2 linked regions of the Oryzias latipes genome follow. The protein of the gene in region 2 purifies or fractionates together with the protein of the main gene of each other region. This does not show direct contact. Links are inferred from orthologs where the notes say so. Each region holds a gene or a part of one and is shown on either strand. Other genes may lie near its edges.

What was found. Proteins that work in one complex are often made in the same cells at the same time.
Region 1: the proteins of pex1 (region 2) and pex26 purify together in Homo sapiens (affinity purification with western blotting; 3 studies listed by BioGRID and IntAct, with this or other methods). This does not show direct contact. The link is inferred for Oryzias latipes from reciprocal best matches to the Homo sapiens genes PEX1 and PEX26.

Annotation. Positions count from the first base shown.
Region 1 is NC_019881.2:17,756,116-17,763,552, forward strand, and holds pex26 (peroxisome assembly protein 26), read right to left. Parts: upstream 4,250-7,437; 5' UTR 4,114-4,249; coding exon 3,914-4,113; intron 3,147-3,913; coding exon 3,006-3,146; intron 2,690-3,005; coding exon 2,367-2,689; intron 2,280-2,366; coding exon 2,139-2,279; intron 2,037-2,138; coding exon 1,930-2,036; 3' UTR 1,534-1,929; downstream 1-1,533. Other genes in the region: ubl carboxyl-terminal hydrolase 18, read right to left, coding at 309-360; llph (protein LLP homolog), read left to right, coding at 4,829-5,045, 5,472-5,635; hematopoietic lineage cell-specific protein, read right to left, coding at 6,274-6,407, 6,483-6,551. UniProt on the Homo sapiens protein: Peroxisomal docking factor that anchors PEX1 and PEX6 to peroxisome membranes. PEX26 is therefore required for the formation of the PEX1-PEX6 AAA ATPase complex, a complex that mediates the extraction of the PEX5 receptor from peroxisomal membrane.
Region 2 is NC_019869.2:21,759,007-21,766,496, reverse strand, and holds the start of pex1 (peroxisome biogenesis factor 1), read left to right. Parts: upstream 1-3,581; 5' UTR 3,582-3,675; coding exon 3,676-3,783; intron 3,784-4,422; coding exon 4,423-4,569; intron 4,570-4,668; coding exon 4,669-4,752; intron 4,753-5,013; coding exon 5,014-5,128; intron 5,129-5,255; coding exon 5,256-5,911; intron 5,912-6,002; coding exon 6,003-6,122; intron 6,123-6,215; coding exon 6,216-6,336; intron 6,337-6,528; coding exon 6,529-6,635; intron 6,636-6,777; coding exon 6,778-6,857; intron 6,858-6,941; coding exon 6,942-7,074; intron 7,075-7,160; coding exon 7,161-7,257; intron 7,258-7,337; coding exon 7,338-7,490. Other genes in the region: efcab1 (EF-hand calcium-binding domain-containing protein 1), read left to right, coding at 210-276, 373-531, 627-731, 844-1,016, 1,141-1,245, 1,318-1,368; rbm48 (RNA-binding protein 48), read right to left, coding at 1,519-1,581, 1,673-2,208, 2,425-2,570, 2,653-2,843, 3,305-3,466. UniProt on the Homo sapiens protein: Component of the PEX1-PEX6 AAA ATPase complex, a protein dislocase complex that mediates the ATP-dependent extraction of the PEX5 receptor from peroxisomal membranes, an essential step for PEX5 recycling.

The DNA.
Region 1 (7,437 bases), on a different chromosome or scaffold from region 2:
TTAGTTTCATTTAAAAAGCAGTATACCTGAGGTATATTTTATTAAGTATACGTGATTATAGCATGTATACACTATGTACATGTAGTGTAGGAAGTATACTAACTGAATACTTCTTCAGACCATATATAAAACAATATATGTATATTATAAAAAGTAATGTAGTAAAATCAGCCTTTTTGGTGTAATTTGAGCGCAAATTATAATTTTATTTTTTAAAGTTGCTTATTTGTTTAATCCTAAATAAAAATTCAACTACTTTGTTTATGAAAAGAAAAAGAAAAACTTCGTTGACAACAAATGTAACTTACTGAGCTGAGTGTTCCACAGCGTTGGAAAAATCCTCCAAATCCCATAAGACATTGCGTTTTAAACGAAGTCGAGTAGTTTAACCCGGCGTCGGGTTATTTTGGTAGAATAAATCTTTCTTGTCGAGTTTTTCCGTGATATTGACGTTTCTGCTGGAGTCAAAGCACTGTCAGCTGAGTCTTCATCACATCATCATCCTCGGCATCGCTTTCGTTTAACCCGCCTCTGCGCGTAAAACGAAACTTAACAGCTCCATTTATAAAGTAAGCAAATTTGTAAAACGTGGCATATATCCTATAGGAAGGTCTATAACCACAAATCAGCTGTTAAGTGTTCTGCATCCTGTTAAGAGACATATAAGTTAAAAAAAATAAAAAAAGATGGGATTTACTGCACATGCGCAGATAAAATCGAACTTTATTTATAAAAAAAACTCGTTTTAAACATTGCGTATCTCTAAGCACTTAATATTGTTGCTTTAGGTATATTTCCATTTAAAACTGTTGGAACAGCAAAAAATATTGCCCCGTGACTTCACTAAAGAACGCCTTTTTTTAATTTAACATTACAAAATAAATATTTTTTTATGAAATTTTCTGATCCTCCCAGGATTTGCTTTTATAAATCAAAACATCACACTTTCACTGTCATTTTCACCTAAGGGACCCACTCTGATGAAAATGGTGCTTTTGAAGTTTTTGTTCTTGATGCATTTTTCTGATAACAGAGTATAAATAACGAAAATTAAGCTCAAAATTGTATTTCTGAGTATTTCTTTAATTAAATTGTGAATCTGCAGTTGACAACAAAATTCAGTTTGAAAAAGATCGTATAACATTGAAAATATGATGGGCAGGCTACAAGATCCCTGCCTGATGCATTCACTTGCAGACAAATATAATCCATGCAAGTCTTCGTTTTCCTTGTCCAAGCTGGTATCTGGCTCAGAGCCCATTAATGTTAGGTTGGAGGTGTCCTTACCACTTGGGTGTGAGGAGCTGTTAGCTAGTGGGAGAGCATGTAAACATATGGATGATGGGAAATGGGGGTAGGCTTGCATCCAAAAAGTCCTTCAAACAACTCAGAGGCTTGAACTACTACCACCTTTTTACTTTGGCTAAAAATGGCAAAAATAATTACGGGGGGGGGGGGGGGGGGGGGGGGGGCTTTGAAAATAGATCAAAAGATGATTGGAGTGGGTCCTTAAAAATAATGGACACAAGAAAATAATTGTTAATAGTTTATTTATGGCTACAATTTTAGAGGTATAAAGATTTTATTAAAAATATAACACCTAAAAGGTAATCAGTGCTCTGCAATATATTATAGCTATTGTTTTTTCAAAATTCTACATTTTAACATAAATACAGTCTACCTCCTGTTCACCTCCCTGGGTTTTACTTCAAGATTCTAACTAAATGATCAATGGATCTCTTTTAAATAAGCTGTTGACTAATAATCAAGCAATAGAATCTATAACTGCTCGTTTGTAAAGCACTTCTATAAAATCATTATTTTTAATTTATAAACGAAATTAAACAAATGTTAGAGACACAGAATTAAAGTAAAGACCTTCCATTAAACACAATCAAATTAGATCAATTCAACTAAATGTTTCCACAATTATTCTTTTTGACTGAGAGTCTGATAATAAGGTCCAAACATGGTTCTCCACATCTGTTTAAAGAGCTGACAAAGTTTGGAAATCCACATAAATGAGGACGGCGCAGCTGTAAAAAAAAATAAAAACAAGAAAGGCATTCATTTATTTCCAATCAACAGGGTATAAAAAAGTCAACAGTAACATACTGAGGAGGAAGAGTTTCTCAAACCTGGATCCAGTCTGCTGAAGAGCATGTAGAGGATAACAGCTATCAGGAAAAGTCTCCGGAGAGGGAATAAGCCAGAACCGGCTGTCAAGATTTTTCTGTATAAAAACCTGAGCATAGCTTCGAGTTTATGGATTATAGCATCTGCAAACCACAATTAGGAAGATCTAGTCATTATTTCTGCACAAGAAATTGAGCACAATGCACATTGATATGACTGAAATGTCAAACCTTTAACTGAGTTAGGATGCGCAGAAATCTCAGAAGCTGGATGGATCCCAGAGCGCAGAGCTGCTTCTCGACTTTGTTGTGCTTTTTCTTCCACAATATTTAGTGCTGCCTGTTTCCGCTCCGCAAAGGCGATGCCACCAACCTCACCTGCAATAAACTCCCGAGCTTCCTCAAAATGTCCGAGAGGCACAAGTATGTGTAGAAGATACAACTCTGCAACTGTCCGGAAACCAGCAGATCCGCAATTTGATGGACAGTTTAACCAAACACTGGCTGCTTCCTGCATCTCAGCAGCTTCACCCACCTTGGAGTACAGAAGTATGCTGCAGAAAAAGAACGGATGGAGAGCAATTAGTCTCTTATCAAAAATATTTTTTCTTCCATCTCTGTCTTTTATTAGCATTTAATAATTAGAATAATAATCCATTTTATTTAAAGCGCCTTTGAAGAAACCCAAAGACACTTTACAAAACAAAGGTTAAAATAGACATTAAAAGCACAATTTTGTGTGATATATGGTATCTATGCAGCTTCAATGCAACAAAAATGATGTAGCTCTAATTTAGGATGCTATAAACACTACATAGGAGATTAAATTCCTTTTTTCCTTGACCTAATGTATTTCTTATTATTTCTTACCACATCTGCATTATTTTTGCTGGTATGTCTTCCTGGCGCTCATACTGCTGCAGAACCCAGGCGAGGACTCCGTGCCAGCGATTCAGCTCAGCCAGCGCCTGAATCCCCAAGATGCAGAAACCAGTCTTCAACTCTGTACATCTGCAAAGTCAAAAAAAAAGGAAAGAAAAAAAGAAATCAGAAATACCCCGTAAGGTTCTGTTGAAAACTGTGTTTTTTGTGGTTTAAATCAAACGATGATCAGAGTGGGACTTTAAAAACATCTCATCCTGCCTGCCTAATGAAGAAAATCTGGATAAAACCTTTGTTTCCTCCAAACTGAACTACTGCAGCCTTCTCTTCATGGGGATCCTCAGCAGGAGCCTCCAAGAACTATAATACAACTAGAACTGTGCAATCACAATCATCGTGAGCAGCAGAAAATATTAAATCCCATAATCACGCCACTGGCTTCTCTTTCCCTGAAGGAGTCAAATGTCCAACAAATGACCCCAAACCTTTATCAGGAGAAAAACTTTTTTCCCCATAATCTTTAAAGCTTTAGGAACCCATTATACTTACATCTTGTGTTTTAATTAAACGTTTCCTTTGCTTTGTGACACATAAAAAAGTGCACCAAAAATAACCCTTACCATTGAGTAGGCTATTTGAATGTACTACAAGTATACTAAGTCTATATAATTAAAGGCGAGGCAGTATACTTTAAATGTACTTTTTTTTAACTATCTATATATTATAAACTTAAAATGTTCCAATTTAGTCTTCCAACACAACACTTGCATGGTCTATAGAATACTTTCTAAACTTATACTCAAGTATTCTTAAAAAATAAGCTTCAAGTGTACTACTTTAAATAAATTTCAGTTGTAACTTTTTCCATCTTAATTTTCTCGTTAAATGAGGGTCACCTGTTGTCCTCCGTGCCAGCGAGCTTTTCCAGACCTCTCTGGCACGTATCAAAAACAGCCTGGAAGTCTCTGTAGACCATCATCTGCTCTGCTGCAGAGTCGAGCATGTTTATCATCTGTAGTGCAGCAGAGGACGGCGGAGGGGAACTGCTAACGGAACCGAAGCTGCAAGGCGTCTGTCTGCTTGAGCAGCTGCTCATGACTCCCAGAAAAATGTGTGAACCCCGCAAAACCTTCAAATTATTTTTATCCTTCGACCTGACTAAAGTAAATCTACGATTAGTGAGGGAAATGGACGCTCACGCCGTTTGTTTACAATCCACAAATCTCGTTGAACTTCCGGGTTTGAAAAATTGGCCAATCGGACACTAGTTTCTTCAAAGTGGTAAAATGAGCCAATCAGATGGCAGCTTAGTGCAAGTCGTTTTTTCCAAGCCATTCCTGTAAACACGTGCTGTGTTTATGTCGCTACTATAAAAACTTCAGGTATTTTTCACAATTTGATGTCTTTTTGATTTTGCCCTTAGTGTACAGAATATAGTTCACAACTGTATTACCTTTTATGCGTAAAAAAGTTATGCGTTTTGGTAATTTAGAAGAGAAAAAACGTTGTGTTTTAGCTGTTAGCTAGTATTAGCTGCTTACCGTGTTAGCAATCCAGCAAGCTAACAAACAACTACTTTAACCGTTTAACAAAATCTTGATTTTAAACTAGTTAAAAGCATTTTGTGACAATAACTTATTTAGATGTGCCTGTTTTCTTTAACCTCATCATAATCCAGCTTCTATGTTTTATGAAGTTTCAGATGTTATATTAAATCATGCAAGGATAGGCTACAAGAAAAAATTAAAGTTCTCCACAATGTTTGTATTTACCAAGTATTTTCTTTTTCCTTTTAGAAATAGTTAGTAAACATGGCTAAAAGCCTCAGAAGCAAATGGAAGCGTAAGATGCGAGCGGAGAAGAGGAAGAAAAATGCCCCAAAGGAGCTGGCTCGACTTAAACAAGCTCTGAGTAATGACAAAAAAGGAGAGGTGGACATGGCTGACCTGGAGGAGATTGCTACTGTGGTGTCTCCTGATAAGATAAAGAAGCAGACAGATGTTGACATGGCAGAGGACGCGGCTGAAGGTGAGTGGATTGATTTCTGTTCTTTAAGTGTGGCCACAAGTTTCCATCCACTTAAAGACGACTAGTACATCCATGAACATTTTTGTTTTGCTCGTCTGAGCTGGCATGTGACTCAAAGGGAGTGTGAGGGGCTGTAAGCTAGCAGTAGAGTATGTAAACAGAGAGCTCTCAGCAATGGGGAGGGAAAAGGGGGCCAGTTATTCCACCTACAACTCGGAGGTCACTTTCTAATGAACGACTGCCACTCTGCAGAAACTATGTACTAGAAAGCAGTTTTGATGTTTTGGCTATAAACGACAATCATAAATAAAAGACCACTGGGAACGCGTTGAAAATAGATTAAAAAAATGTGGGTGTTTAAAGTTGGCATGCCTTAGTGCTTTCGTTTTTGTTGTACACAGCTCATCTCTGCATTTCTGTCCTTAGGATTGAAGATGGACACAGATAAGAAGCGCAACAAGAAAACCCTTTTGGATGAAGACGGACGGTACCCTGTGTGGATGAACCAACGCCAGATCAAGAAACTGAAAGATAAACGCATGACAAAGAAAAGTGGAAAGGGCAAGAAGAAGAAGGGAATTGCCTGGTGAAATGGAGTAACTGATTCAAAGACTTTTGATACTAAATTGCCGTGTCAGATACAAACTTTCTGCTGCTGTGACTTCTTTAGTGGACTGTCAGAACTGTTGCTCCACCATATTCCAATAGGAACCTTTTTATTTTTGAGAAATGTGTTCCTATGTAAAAACAGTATGATTTACGTTCACAGTGGTTCCTATAAGAGGATGAACAGTATTTTCTGCTTGTCTACTTCCTAAATTGTGTCAAATATTAATGCAAACAATAAATACCATAAAACAACTTGTGTAGAAAGTGCTCAGTTTTCTTTATTTGGATCATTTCAGATTTTGGAGTTACAGTGGTCCCTCGTTTATCGTCGGGGCTACCTTCTAAGAATAACCCGCAATAGGTAAAATGAAGTATAGGATTACAGATGTTTTAGGGATAAATCAGTGTTAAAAAAGAAAGGCATGATGCACAATTGTACTGGAAAAAATCTGCTTAACAGAAAGATTGTGAAAGGAGAACTGCAATATATAGATGGACAGATGTACTCATTTCTAGTTGGATACATTATGAGGATTGATTTGGTGCATTGGTACATAGTTGCCTGATTTCTTCATATCCGTACAAGGAGTCAGCGTTTGAGTGTGCAAAAAAACAAAGTTTAAATCAGCTGAACGTAAGAGGCGGGAAACAAGCCGAAGTGACCGTGACACTGTCCCTTCCACCAGCCTTCGTCGATCATCTCTATGTTAGTGATAATGTCATCTGGATTGAAGGAAATCTCATCTTCTGCCTCTGTGGAAACAGACATGTAACAACACATTTGTGAACAGATCATAGCACTTTATGTCTTGAAGTGAATCAACATACCTCCCTGATAGTCATAAATCGCAATCGCCTTTTGGCCATGAGACAAGTCTTCATATTCGTTCTCAACTTCTGTTTAAAAAAAAAAAGATTATTATGGATTATTTCAAACAATTAAAAGAAAAAATCCTACATATATATTAAACAATGATAAACTGTAACTTAACTTTAAAATTAAATTTTTTTAAATAAAACAAATACACCTGCGTTTATATACATCCGCATACAAATGTAAGCAATGCCAGTATAATTAGTTTTAATCAAAAGTAGACCTATATGTCCGTAAAGATACAATACATGACACACTGAATCCAATAAATGTGAAGTTTGTCATAAAAAGTTTATTTGTTTCAAAAGGAGTGAGAGGAAGCGAACGTATAACATTTCACCCCCATGCTCACTCTCGGCCTCCCACCCCTCACATGCAACTGGATTAACAACTTCCTCACAAACCGAACACAAACTGTGAGACTTGGCCCCCACCACTCCTCCACCCGCACACTGAACATTGGGGCCCCACAGGGCTGTGTGCTAAGCCCCCTGCTGTACTGCCTCTACACTTATGACTGCAGTCCGGCCCACAACAACAGCTGCATCATCAAGTTTGCCGACGACACCACGGTGGTCGGACTCATTCCCAGGGGGGAGGAGTCTGCCTACAGAGAGGAGGTCCTGAAGTTGACAACCTGGTCCTCAGAGAACAACCTCACCCTTAACACCAACAAAACCAGGGAGATCATAGTCGACTTCAGGAAACATGGTGCGGACCCAGCCCCCCTCCTTATTAATGGGGAGCATGTGGAGAGGGTCCACACCTTCAAGTTCCTCGGCATCACCATCTCTGCAGACCTTTCCTGGACAGCCAACACCACCGCCATCATCAAGAAGGCTCAGCAGCGTCTGCACTTCCTGAGGGTCCTCAGGAAGAACAAAATTAGCACCAACCTGCTGCTGACCT
Region 2 (7,490 bases):
TACTAAACAGACAGAGATAGGGAGTTTCGTAACAACGACACTGTATAAACTACATGGTTTTGTTTTTTGTTTGTGCTTTACTAAAACATGTGTAATCTAATTTCCTCCTCTTGAACGTAACGGTTCGACGTGTTGACGTCAGACGTTTATACGTGTTGTCATGGTGAAGCAGATAAAACGGTTCTCCATTTCATGCAAGTTGGTTAAAAATGTCATCAGCCAGTAAAAAAGCGATACAGGCCCTCGCGGAAACAATCTCCAAAAAAGTGGAACACTGTGAGTATAATTTTAAAAACATTTAAACTTTTAATTATTCGTGTGACCATTCAAACAGTCAGAACATGATGTTTAAATGAGCTTTTTCATTTCAAGTTAATAAAAAAGAGGTGGAATGTCTTATCTGGAAGTTCAATGCACTTCTGGAGGCGCAGAAACATTCTGATGGTTCGGTTTCGGGTCTGGACAGAAACCAGTTCAAAGTGGTTCTACACAACCTGTTCGAGATGACCGACGACTTCATCATGGATAGAGGTACTATTAGTCACAAGCCTAAGTATTACATTGTAAAGTTTGCTACATCTGTCCTACTATTGGAAAAGTGTCTGCAATTTATCAAACCTTCTCAGTCTTCAGGATATTTGACAAGGACAATGATGGATTTGTCACTGTGGAAGAATGGATCCAGGGACTGTCTGTTCATTTTTGGGGCACTCTGGATGAACAGAAGAAATGCAAGTTCCCCACAGCATGTTCCTTCCTGCTTCTTAAGCACTACTTCTCACACAAATGAGGGAATGCACACATATTTAGCCCATAAGGCCTGTCTTTTCTCCCCCCCTGCAGACTGCTTTCATATGTATGACTTGAAAGGCAGCGGATTTATCACGAGAGACGACATTTTTCTCTTGCTGAAGGACAGTTTCCATCTGCGGCTTGAAGAGGAAGGCAGAGAAGACGACTATCAAGATGAACAGGATGAGATCAACGAACTGATGGAAATTGTCCTCAAAAAAATGGTGAGATGTTGCCCTCCCATCTGCCTTTGTCACATTTGGATCGATGTTGATTGTAAGAATTTTGTCTTGATGTGTGCAGATTTATTTTGGTAACATGCCAACATTGCTTCCTGTGATTCCACAGGACCACGACAAAGACGGCAGGCTGTCTTTTCAAGATTTTGAGAAGTCTGTAAAAAAGGAGGAGCTACTCCTTGAAGCCTTTGGAAGCTGCCTGCCCAATTTCAGGGTAATCACAACCAAAAGTTGCTGAGCTTAAAAATATTGTAAGGATCTATTTAACTTAAATCTTTCTTTTTAGACAAAGAAGAAGTTTGAGCAGCAAGTACTGGAAAAGCAGCAAGATGAATAATAAAATATGAAGTGCAAGCGGTGTTCAACTTTGAGACTTTCATGAAAGAAAAAGCCAAAATGTTTTTCTTAAAGTACAATTTTATTTTAAGTTGAGCCTTTCAACGTTAGTTTTGATAAATATGGACAGTCGTCACTAAAACAGAATGGATCATATCCGACGGCGTGGCTTAACCTTCTTCTCCGCTGGTTTGAGGTCTGGGACCGATGTCACCTAGGAATGAATGAAAAGAATGAGACTGAAATGCACCAATATGGCATCATGTCAAGCTCTAATTCTCATTAAAAAAAAAATAAAAGACTACCTGCTTCATTGTGCCCCTGATCAGATTTACTGTTGTGTTTAGCGACTGATCATTCATGTCCAGCTTATGTGGTTCTGGTAGTTTTGGTCCAATCAAAGACGGTTCTCCAGAATCAGGCACTGGCTGTTTTGTGGCCTCCTCCATTTTGCGGCGTTTGTTCTTTTCCAAATGTGCAGTTCTTGGAACAAGCTTGACGGAAGAATCTGGGTTGGAGGCCAATTTTTTTTCGGAATTAGGGTCTTTACTGAAAGAGCTAAAGTTCTGGACTTTCTGCTGTTTTACGTCAGGAGGCACTGCGTCATGTAAAGTCCCCATTTGATCTTCTGTTGGTTCGTTCCCACGATAATCCTGATGAAAGTATTCCTGCGGGGGTAAAGGCAGTAGAGGAAATCCGGAACAATGGCTGAAGCTTGAAGTCTCGCCTGTTTTGTCACTATTGAAGATTGGATTATTTGTAGCAAAAACTCTGCTTGATGTGGGAACGCTTTCTGAAGACGTAGATTCCATGTGTACCGCATCCGCTACTCTTTCTTTTGCTGTATAAACATGAAACAGATAAATGACACTCATCAAATTCTTTATCTATACTTTAAACTTACAAAACAACAAAAAACATTTGATTTCAGATAAAAATACACAAAAAAAATTTTTTAATCACAGTTTTTTTTCATTGAACTTTTAAAAAACAATTACCTAAGAAAAAAAAGATTCAGTGCTTTTCAACACCGTATATCGTCAAAATGCGATAATACCTCTACTCCGAGCCACTTTCAGAACATAACTTCTCCTGTCCTGCAGCTTTAACTTGGTGTCTTCCACAGACTCGTACTCCGGGACGTAACACACATGCAGCACGCCGCCATAGAAACTCTTCTCATCCATGTTACGTTTCGCCGCTCTGGAACATCAAATATCAACCTGAATGACATATTTTTCAGCATTTCTGGTTTAGGGCAGTACAGTTAAGGTGCCCGCCATACCTAGCACTTGTCAGTTTTTGAAACTTGACCAGGTAGACTTCTGTGAACTCCTCAGCAGGATACTCGTCCAGCGGTCTGTATTCCTCCACTGTTCCATAAAGAGCACACAACTGGATCAGCTCCTCCATCACTCCAATAGCGGGGACTCCCTGGATCATCACATAACGGGACTCTAAATTTATTGTGTAGACCTGGCAGATACAAAGGCATGGTTATTAGTATATGTGAGGCTGTTGACGTGACCAATAAAAATCAATTAACTTAAAGACATAATCATCAGATCTGATGTACTTTCCTGCAACTCAGAAATCCAGTCTACTGTATTAGAAATTTGATTTTTATGGTTTATTAATTACAATTTTTTCGAAATGACTCAAACTTTTTACCATGTCTTTTATTTAATTTTATTTATTTATTTTTGCCAAAACGACAGTTTTATTTGTTTTTTTAAGACCTGCCGTTGGTCTTTTATTTATCACTTGCTGTGTGACTACAATTTATACTTTTTTCTTCCAGTTAAAAAAAAAGATTTTAAAATTTTCTCTTACATTCTTAAATGTAAAAATAAAACCAACTTACACATAATTATTAGCTCGTCGCTTGCGTCAACACAGACCGTCTTTGCTACAAACATTAGAAACGTTTTTCTTACCTTGACTGCTTTAGCTCTCCTTCCATCTCTATATTTGGGTCTAGAAAAACATGCGTTGTGTTGTTCGTGATGTTTGTAGACTTCTGGGACCTTCCAACAACCAGGTTTACTGTTGACATTTGCCGCCATGTTTGCTGAAACGCGTTTCCGCTTTGGTGGCATTTCAAAACAAGAGTTCATTCCGTTGTGCAGAGCACTCAACGTGTAGTGTTGACGACGTGGCAGTCTTATTTTGAAATGATCGATTCCATCGACAATCGACTGTTTTGTCTGGATCAGTTCTCTCATTCATCGAAATGTTTGTTGCACTTTGGCCGTTAGCGCACCAGCATGTTAAGCACTTTAAATGCTAAAATAGCGATGTAAACGTCATGTTTAGCAACCAGGGAATTCAACCAGTATGTGTTGTTTTTAACAACACTAAAAACTGCTTTATTCAACTCTCTTCAAAGCTGATATCGCACCTTTCTCTGAATGAGGTAAAGTATTAGCTAATTACTTAACATCGCTTCAGTTTTGTTGCATAAAGTTTACTGAATAATGACTGCTTTTGTGTTTTACACATTGCTGGTTTGTTTCTCTGACATTACAAGGGGACCTTTGGTTGCATTTAAGGTTTTAGTTTTTCTTAATTAAAACTTATAACAAAAGCAGAGCATTTTTTTATTATCACGTGTACTTAATTAGTATTAGGAAGTAATGCAAGGCAACAAAAAATGAATTGTTGGTAAAAATAGAAATTGGGCATCAAATACTGTCCTCATTCAGGGGTCTTTAGTCTAAAGGAAACTGCATTGTTTTGATTTTTAACACATTAACTCCTAGAAATAGTTTAATTTAGAAAAGGTTGATTATTATAATAACTAATGTGATCATCTCAATATTTCTATATTTTGCTACCACACCTGTGGAATATTTTTGCAATTTTTTAATTTAATTCTTCTGCTGAGCATAAAATCTGAAATGTATGTAATGATACAAAATGTACAAGAATAAAAACTAATAAAGGTATCACAAGTATCTAACATTCATAAAGTTGGAATCATAATTTCGACATCCGCTTTAAGAGACCATTCTGTGTCTTATTTCATCGTCTCTCTTTGGCCGGTCCGTTTTAGAATCAGGCTTTGGAGCTGTCTTGGGACGGCGGGTCGACAGTGTTCCTTAGCTGGTGTCCCATCAGAGCCTCCTTAGGAGCAGACAGCCACAGAGTGGAGTTGTCTCGGCAGCTTGGAGAAAAGCTCGGTTTGACTGATGGAGAACAGGTAAAGACCTTGGTTTCTTCCTTTAGGTCATCAACTGGGACGAACACTGCCTGTGCAACAGTCTCTTAACATTGGTCTGACATTGAGTGGTTTTCACAGTGTTTTCTCAGACCATGCCATCAAGTCTCTTCGCTGAATCAGGTGTTTGTGGAGCCACTGTCATCTGATGACTGGGAGATTTTGGTGAGTGAAATATTGACTTTTGTGTAATTTGTCTAATTGCAGTTATACATTATCATGAAATCAATCTCCTGAGAACATAATCAACTTCTAAAACTCATTTCTAATTATCAAAATAAAAGTTAGTCATTTTAGCTTTCCCTTCTTTCTTTCTTTTTGCATTTTCAGTGCAGAACTGCTCAATCATGATGTTGCTTATTGGTTTGGGGAGCTTAAACAACATTTGTGGCTAAGCAGTTTCATTTTCTGTTTTGACATCTCCAGGAGCTTCACAGTTCTGCACTTGAAGAGCAACTGCTGAATCAGATCCGAGTGGTTTTCCTAGATGCCGTGTTTCCCGTCTGGGTGGACAGTCACACAGTCATCTACATAAAGATAGGTTTGTGCTGTTATCCAACTCAAAATGTTTGTCTGTTAGTCAAACAGTCAGTTATTTTAAAAAGTTACGTCTAACCATTTTTACTTGGTTTGTAAACGTGCTTTGGTTTGTTTTTTCCTCCTCACAGTTTCACTCTCACCACATGTGCGCTTTGGTCATCTTGAGCAATTCACAGAGCTTGTAGTGTCTCCAAAGATTGGTGCTGGAGTTGGCATCAAATCCAGCCAGAGTCAATGGTATCCTCCTCAGCAAAACCCGACGTTTTCCTCCTCTTCTCTGTCATCGGCAGAGAGTTCATTCCATGTCCCTCACAGTAACTCCCCAGGTGGCATTGCTAACATGAAAAACCTTCTCCGCACTTTAATAACGAGCAGGTATGACGCGGTCAAGGAGCTGCCGCCTGTACCTGACATCCCGGTTTTCTTCCCTGATGCCATCTACAGAGTGTGCAATTCACCTCCAGTCTCTCTTTGCACTATTAGCCACATTGCGATCGGTGTTGTTCACATATTTCCATGGAACTCCTCTTCAATTTCCAGCAAGTCCGCAGTAACATACGGCCTCCTTTCCAAAGTTCAGTCCCCTAAAGAAGCCAGGGAGAAAAACAAGCGGGCCTCAAAGAAGAACAGCGTTTCTAAAGAAGAGCAACTAACTGACAAAGGAGATGAAGGCATAAAGCAACAGGAACCGGTGGTTGTCAGGATGATATGCCACGGCACTGAGATGCTGACAAGCAAAGACAAATGTCACAGTAAAGGGGAGATTTACTGTGGGAAAGTATGGGTGAGTATGGAAATACTTTCATTCACTTACATCTTAGTCCTGAATTCTAAAGATACTTTTCGTATATTTGACAAAAATTGTGTTTCTTCAGATCCCACATCCTCTGATGAGCAAAATCAGCATCCGACCACACTCGGCTGTTCGAATTAAGCCTGTCAAATCCACCATCAAAGTAGCCATCAAACTAGGCCTGCAGCCTCTAAATGCCATGGTGAGAGTTGCAATCAGTGTACGATCGGATCTATTCAGAAAAACCTCGGATCCAAAATCCAATCTGTCAAACTGCATTTTTTTTATCTGTCAGCCTGAAGAGGATGATGAAGAGATCCAGTCAGTGTTTCTGGGTTGGCTACACACAAAGAGTCACGAACCTTTGGGCCGTCTGACTCCCCGCTCTGGTACCATCCTCCTGCATGGAAACGACGGTGATTTAATTTTTATCTTCATAAGATAAACAAGTGTCGTTGCATGAACTCTTCTGTGGAAGAGTATTTAAAAAAGTTCAGTTTAGGAGTTTTAAAAGTGTAAAAGCAGTCGCAACAAAAAACTAAATTAGAGGTATGTGAGAAATGAGGAAGAATTCTCTTGGATTTTAAATTTTCTTTTCTTATTTATAGCTAAGTTGGAGATGGCTTTAACTGTGCTAAAACCAGAGCTGCAGAGTGATCCTGAAGACCAGCTTTTTCTTCTGTCACCCACTGTTCTGCACAAGGAAGATATACAGGTACCGCCATGCACACACGCACTCTGCAATAATATAAAATGTTTCTTATTTTTCAGAATTCTCTAACAAAATGTGGAATTAAGGACACTGTGCATTTCCAGTTGTTTAAATTTTGTTTATAGACACTTTGTGTCTCTTTCAGGTAAACAGACAGCCAGCGACTGTGCCGGCTGTCAGCGCTGAAGCACCCGAGCCTGAGCTTCCGTCTCTTCTTAGTCTTGGGTAAACTTTTTTTTGAACTGTAGTAATTGTTCAAGCTAACATTTGTTCTTGCATTTGGCTCTTACTTTGGTTGTCCTTTCTCAGTGGGGTTGGTGAGCACGCTAGGGTTGGGTTTGAGTTCCTTTCCCACAGCTTTGTGGGTAACCCCCTCTCCAGAGAGCTCGGAAAAGCAGGATGGGGTCTGCAAGGAGGAGCGTTGCTTATTACTGGTGCAAAGGTATTATTTACATTTTTTTTTAGACATTTTAAGTGTTTATTCAGATTTATAGATGAACAAACATGATCAACTCACTGTAATCACAGGGAAGTGGAAAGAGCACTCTGTCCAGAGGCCTCTGCAGAAAAGCCAGAGAGGATCTGGACTCGCATGTAGAGGTGGTGGACTGCAAAAAGCTTCAAGGTCAAGGATTCTCCGAGCAGAACATGAGATAATCGGTGAAATGTTAGGAAGTTATGTGCATTTTCTTTTTCATCTTCCAGGCAAAAAGGCTGAGACCGTGAGACAGATTCTTCAGGATGTTTTTGAGCAGGCAGAGTGGAGGCAGCCTTCTGTCGTCCTGCTTGATGACTTGGATTATTTGGCCCGAGCCCCAACTACACCTGAGCAAGACAGCGGCCCCGAGGCGCTGCTGC